2 linked regions of the Ovis aries genome follow. The protein of the gene in region 2 purifies or fractionates together with the protein of the main gene of each other region. This does not show direct contact. Links are inferred from orthologs where the notes say so. Each region holds a gene or a part of one and is shown on either strand. Other genes may lie near its edges.

What was found. Proteins that work in one complex are often made in the same cells at the same time.
Region 1: the proteins of ANKRD17 (region 2) and HOXB6 purify together in Homo sapiens (co-immunoprecipitation; 3 studies listed by BioGRID and IntAct, with this or other methods). This does not show direct contact. The link is inferred for Ovis aries from reciprocal best matches to the Homo sapiens genes ANKRD17 and HOXB6.

The regions. Positions count from the first base shown.
Region 1 is NC_056064.1:37,626,269-37,629,694, reverse strand, and holds the end of HOXB6 (homeobox protein Hox-B6), read right to left. Parts: intron 3,000-3,426; 5' UTR 2,890-2,999; coding exon 2,475-2,889; intron 1,446-2,474; coding exon 1,186-1,445; 3' UTR 555-1,185; downstream 1-554. UniProt on the Homo sapiens protein: Sequence-specific transcription factor which is part of a developmental regulatory system that provides cells with specific positional identities on the anterior-posterior axis.
Region 2 is NC_056059.1:89,004,835-89,008,484, forward strand, and holds part of ANKRD17 (ankyrin repeat domain-containing protein 17), read right to left. Parts: intron 3,459-3,650; coding exon 3,371-3,458; intron 1,981-3,370; coding exon 1,853-1,980; intron 1,608-1,852; coding exon 1,464-1,607; intron 787-1,463; coding exon 684-786; intron 1-683.

The sequences.
Region 1 (3,426 bases), on a different chromosome or scaffold from region 2:
CCTACTTGTCGCTGAGCCGCTACTTGAGGCAGGAAGGGACGCCTGGAGACTGCAGCTGTGGGCAGGGAGACAAGACACCCGGTGGCCCCAATTTAGGCCAGGAGCCGAGGGCCAAGGCCGGCGGAAATCAGGCCATGTGGGCAGGCCAAAGATCACCGGCCTCAGGGATCCTGCGGACATAACCCAGCGCTGAGGCACAGAGACCCGCCGGGCTCAGTCTCTGCAGGAGCTCCCGGCTAGGGGGCCTCGGTGGCGTTCCCTCCTGCCACGGACAAACGAAGAAAAGCTAGAGAATAATAGGGGAACGACTCGTCTCCGTCCCCCAGTTCTGCACCAGAAAAGGCCGTTGTGAGCCTCAGCACCGGCGAGGCGCGGCGTTGGAGTCTGGGCCGGACCGCTGCAGCCTTTATCTCAACTGTAACTTCCGAGTCGCGTCTGGCCCTCTGGGGCCGACCAGAGCTCCGGCCTTCGCTGCAGAGTTTCCGGCACCGGGACGCAGGGGTGGCGGTGGGGGTGGGGGAATGGCAGGGGAGGAGCAGAGGTGACTGAGCAGCGAGGTTTTACGTCTTTATTATTATCATCATTATTAATAATATTAATATTATTACCGAAGTATTTCACGTCCAGAGCTAAGACACGACTACAAACACAACACATAGAAAATTAATAAAATAGAACTTTGTTTTCTTCTGAGGCTCCTCTTCTTACTTCTAGGTAGTATGTGCTCCTTCCAGTGGCTTTGGGGAGGGGCTGGGAGAGAGGTCTGGGGTCAGGGAGTCTTCGAGGCCCCCGCTGAGGGGACTGCGAATCTACCATTGAACCGTGCACGGGCGACATGGACGAAATGAGACGCGACACGGACAAGAGCATATTGCTCTGCTTCCAGGAAACATCAAGTGAGTCCGGTCCTCAGTTCTCACGCGGGAGCCTGTTCGGGCTGAGGCGGTTGTGCGGGCATGGAGGCGGCGCTGGGGTGCCGGCTGGGCTCAGGCAGCACGGCCTCCCAGCGCCCAGCGAGCGCTCTGCGGGCGGGGGCGTCCAGGAGAGCGCGGGGCCCCGCCTGTCGCGCTCTGGAGACCAGGTCCCCAGGCTCCCCCGCCCGCAGAGCCTTCCCCGGAGCTCTTCGCTGCCCTCCGTTCCCCGCAGGCCTCTCCCTTCGCGTCCCCCCGCCCCCTGCCAGCGCCTTCATTCGGCCGGTTTTTCTTCTTCCTCCTCGGCACTGAGCTGAGACGCGCTGAGCAGTTTGCTCTCCTTTTTCCACTTCATGCGCCGGTTCTGGAACCAGATCTTGATCTGCCGTTCCGTCAGGCACAGGGCGTGCGCGATCTCAATGCGCCGCCGCCGCGTCAGGTAGCGATTGTAGTGAAACTCCTTCTCCAGCTCCAGCGTCTGGTAGCGCGTGTAGGTCTGGCGGCCGCGCCGGCCGCTGGGCCCAAAGGAGGAACCTGTTACGCATAGAGGAGATGTTGAGGTCTGGGGTCACCAAGGCCAGAACCCCCCTCCCCCATTCGACCCTCAAACGGGGACTCTAGCCTGTCCCGGGATGCCCTCCACTCTCCCTGGTTCCCTGCCCCCCCCTTTCCTCACTCCTCCAGCGCCCCCTCCAGATTCCCTCCGGGTCTCCTCGGCTTTTGCCTTCTGTCTAGATTCTTGGTGGGGGGATGGGAGGAGCAGTTTTAAATCCCACCTGAGCCTAGGGGGAGGGGCTGGAGAAGCACTGGCCAGGTGTGTCTCTTCCTAGACGCATCTTTTCTTCCCATCTGGCGCCCCCACCACCCCGTGACAGATTCTGGCCCTTAATCTGTAATGACGTGGATCGATCCGTAGTCAGCATTAAGGGCTCCTCACTTTCGTGTCCCGTTAATGGACATCAATTTGGGATTTAAGACCGACAAATAATCCAACCTGAGACCCCGGCGCCTGCTTCTCCCTCTCTCCGACTCCGCCCGCTCCCTCTCTTTCTTCCCCTTATTCTCCCCCCCTCCTCTGACTACCACCCCTTTCCGGGTGCCTCCTCTTTCCCCAGCCCCCGACCCCCAGGGAAAACCAGTCCGGGACAGACTCAACTCTCCCTCGCCAGCGTCAGGCCGCCCCCCTTCCCATGACGTACTCCGTTTTTAATGAACAGTCTTGGGGTGGGGGACCGGGCCAGAGCTGGGGGCGCCAGGGAGAGCCCAGCCAGTGGCTGCGCGGGCTCTGTCTGCCTCCCTGACCCGGATCTCGGCTGCTGCCTGGCCCTCGCAGAGAACCCACTCGCTCCCCCTGGCTCGGAGTGCATCTGGGACTTTGCAAACTTTGCAACTCCTGAGGGCGTGAGGGCAGCGCGGGAGATCGAGGCAGGCGCCCAATCTTCCCTAAGCTCCAACCCGAGAGGCTTTCTCCGTGGAAGAATTGGGTGGGGGGGCTCTCTAGTTCTGACTCTAGGGGGGAGGGAGCCCATGGGGGTCGCGGCGGCCTCAGCAAGTCTCACTCACTGTTGCATGAATTCATCCGCTGCATCCAGGGGTAGACCGGAGTGGAGCACTTCTGCTCCTCGGCCTCGCCGAAGACGCTCTTGTCCTGCGCGCAGTCGGACTTCCGCGGCTCCGGGTGGAACGGGGGCGGCTCGTCGGCGCCCGAGAGCGCGCAGGCCGACTCCTTCTCGCGGTAGAAGGCCGGCGCCGGCCCGTAGTCGCAGGGCGCCGCCCGGCCGTAGCCGCCGCCGGCCGGCGGGTAATAGGAGGAAGCGGCAAAGCCCTTGTCTTGGCCGGGCCCGGGCCCGTAGGGCGCAGGGTAGTGCCTCAGAGGGTCCGCATAGCCCGACGAGTAGAGAGGGAGCTGGCCCAGGAAGGACTCCTGCCCGCTGGCCAGAGTGACGGGGAAGGTGGAGTTCACGAAATAGGAACTCATTGGGAGGGGAGGCGCGCGCGGCCGCTGCTGCTCCGCCGGGTTTATGATTTGTTGTGTTTTATAGTCCGAGCGCCGCGCCTATTAGTAGTATATCTGAGATTGGGTTTTAGCTGAGGGGGGATGGCGAGGTGCCAGTGAGGGCCAGAAGGAAATACAACCATCTGATCCAACACTGACCAATGGCAGAGGCAGGAATTGTCAAATAGCACCCAGGAGGAGCGCAGCCCGCGCGAGGGACCCGCGCACAAACCTATCAACCTTTTTTTCCTCCTTCTCCTTCTGCTTTCTCTCTCTCTCTCTCTCCCCAACAGCACAACGCGTCCCGTTCCACCTACGTAGGATCTGCGACAGAGGCGTCTATGCCTTTGAGGGAGGAGGGAGCACTTGGATTGAGACCACCCCATCCTCCAGTGATTAAATAAATATATCCCTCCCCTCCCCACGCAGGAATAGGAAAAAGTTAATTGTGTTTTCAGAAAAGTTAACCCCTGACTTGCTTGAGCCCCATTCCCTCAAGGGAAGGTGGATAAATATCTC
Region 2 (3,650 bases):
AAAGAACTGGTGGAAATACTTAGTATTACTGTTGGTAAAATAATACAGGTAGCCAAAAACCAAAAAGTTAAAGCCACACTGGTTCTTCAGGTAAAACTTTCTAAAAAGAAAATCTGATTCAAACTAGTCGCTGTGTCGGGACATGACTTATGAATCATATATGATGTAACATCCACAAGTAAAATATGGACCTGAGAGTTCTAAAGAAACAAGCAACCATATCTGAAGTAACTCTGAATTCTTGGTTGAGAAAAGGTATTTCAGATATAAAATCTATATTAAACCAGTTATTCTAAAATAAAATTTAATTTTGATCTAGCTATTAATATGCCTTATATCACTATCGAAATTTCAGTAATTTACAAAAATGTCACCCGATTATACCCAGTCTAATATTTTAACATGAATAGAAATTACTAGTTATTAGAGAAAATCACAGATAATCAGAATTGCATCAAAGATGAGCATCTGAATTTCTATTAATATTTCTCATTCCAGCACAAATCCGTGCTCTCAACTATGTTCTTTCCCAATAACATGCTTCTTTCATTGTTTAAAAAAAATTTTTTATGCCAACTTAGTAAAATTCATTTCTTTGTGGAAAAATAATTTTAAATGGCTATTTTTTTTCAATCTTATCATTTTTACTTGGACAACCTGAAGGCTTTAGAAGTATAACTGACCTTTATTCCTGATGGGAAGAGTGGTGGCAACATTGGCAGGTGGTTTGTCAGGCTCCTGAGGTGGGACAACCATGGGCAGTGCTTGAACTGGTACTCGCGGAGCCTAAGACAAATAAAACTGATTATATTTCTGCCTTTCCTATACCTTCCATTAAATAATATGCTTTAAATGATTCAGTTGGTAAAGAATCTGCCTGCAATGTGGGAGACCTGGGCTCAATCCCTGGGTTGGGAAAATTCCCTGGAGGAGGTCATGGCAACCCACTCCAGTATTTTTGCCTGGAGAATCCCCATAGACAGAGGAGCCTGGTGGGCTGCAATCCATGGGGTCGCAAAGAGTCAGATATGACTGTGCGATTGGATGCCACAGAATGAAGAATAAGTTATGAAGATCCATTCAAAGTATTTTTAAACATAATCTCAGGAAACAACATATTTACTTAAAATATGCTGGTATCAAATTATTTCCATGACTTTTCTTTTTCTGGCCATACGACAAAAGTCCCATCCACTGGGACAAGGAAATCCCTCCAAGATATTTTTTTTAAACAGACTTGGAAATCAAAAGGTTATTCTGGCCATAATAAGAAAGCAAAGCAAAATGAAATCAATCTAGAACGTGAGTATTATACTGAAAGGTCATTACCCGTATTGAGTACATTATCTTTAACGAGAATTGCGTATTATAACAAAAAACAATCATTCTAGTTTAATCTGGAACTATGACTAAAAAAGGGATAAAGATAATATAATATAAAATGCTTTAGTTTAGAATCTTACCCTATTTAAATCGTGGGATGGGGGGGTTAATTGAGTGACATCTGGTGGAGGGGCTGAAAGCAAATTATTAGGATAGTCCAAAAGATAGCAAACAACGCTTGTATGACCACCTTTTGCTGCTTCTATCAACATAGTTGAGCCATCCTAAAAGAGTGAATATGGAAAGGGAAAAAACAGTTTTTCAAATTAATTTACAGAACCATTAAGGAAGATAAAGCCAACAGGTCCCAGACACATTACAGTTTCAATTTTAGTCAAGAACACTTTCCTCTAAAAAAAGAAAATGAACACATTCAGAATGTCAATACAAGTTGAACTTGTAGATAACGTGTTATGCTCAAGAGTGAAGATTAACTCACAGTGCTACCTGAAACACTTCAGTTACATACTTTTAAACGGTGAGTTGGATCTGCCCCATGAGCCAAAAGTAGTTCCACTACTGCCAGATGACCCCCTGCACAAGCCAGGGACAGTACAGTATGGTCATTATTAGCTGTGGTTCTATTCACATTTGCTCCTAAAACAGACAATCCATGAAAAATAATGTTAATAAAATAATCAAAGAGTAGAGAGAACAGGATAATGAAGCCCCACATATTCATTACCCAGCTTCAATGATTATAAACATGGCCAATCTCATTTCACATATACCCACATCCATTCTCCTCTCCCATCTTGAATTATTCTAAAATAAATCCCAAACATAATTTCATCCATAAATGTATAAGTATGCAACATTAAAAACTAAGGATAAAAATATATATTACTCAATATAATCACTGTTTTATAAAAGTAAAATATAAAATTTTATCTAAATTTTTGTATCTTCAGTGGGCAAGATGACTAAAAACCAATAAATAAATAAATAAATAAATAAATAATTCACACTGCCCTCTATGGGCCAAATAATGGAAGGAATTAACAAAAACTAGGAAGTAATAGTAGTAAAATTCTCATCTCTGATTTGCAGCACTGTGCGAGGCATGTGGGAAATGGAAAAAATAGCAGGAAGAAACTGGAATCAGATTCATTAAAATTAAACAAAGGAAGAGAAGAGATAATAACTGAAAATAATTTCATTCTTGAATACATGTGTTATTCATAAACATGTAACACAAGTGTTTAAATTGCCTAAAATAATTTGACCAATAAATTATTTCTGATTTATCAACAAACTTCAGTATTTTTGATAAAAAAGAAATGGCATATATTGCCTTTTTAATTGTATATCGTCTACATAGTCTCTCTTTATCAATGCTGAATCAAAAGTAAGATCTCTAATCTCCTATACTAAAGTTTATGAAAAAGTTTCAGCTTGAACTCATATAGTAAATACCAAAGAGATAATTTAAAGAAAGTAATAATATGCTACTTTTGTTAATAAGGATGTTGGTTTTCAAATAGAATAAATGACCATGAATAAAAATGCATTTTTGGCATATTTTTTCCATTTCAATTTTTAGCTTTTTTTGGGTGGGCTGTGCTATATTTATGATTACTTCTTTATATTTTACAAAGAAGGAAACCTAGGCCCAGGGAAATATAAATAAAGGAGAAAAGTGTCTTGCCTTCAAGTTAATCAGTGGCAGAAACTTGGCACAAAAATCCAGGTTTCAAGATAAATTATTACATAGAACAGACTTCAAGTAATCTAAACCCTCATTTACATAGAGAAATTTTTCTTTATTGAAATGTTACTCAACAAGTGTGTTACCCAGTATGACAACTCTTCATGGATGGTTCTGTGTGTTGCAGGGTATTTATCAACTACCCACTCACAAAAATCTCAGTAGCATTCCTCCATCACATGATACCCACAAAATGTCCTTTACCTCTAAATCCCTTAATACCCAAGGGCAGGGAATAGACATCTCTGGGAAAAAAATCACTGCCTTACACAAACCTACCTTTACTAATTAGGAACTGAACAGTACAAACATGGCCAGCTCGTGCAGCTTTCATTAAAGGAGTTCTTCCACCTTCAGATTCATGCTCCTGTTTAAAAAGTACAGACTTATTTGATATTTAATTTCCAGTGAACAATTATTCTTTTTCATGAAAATCAAAAGGAAAAGAATTGGACTAATTTTGGAATCTAAATATATTAAATAACGTGCTCTGAAGTAAATCAAGGAATATATTCTTTAAACTATCTAAAATTAGAAGCATGCTCTTTAGAAATATATT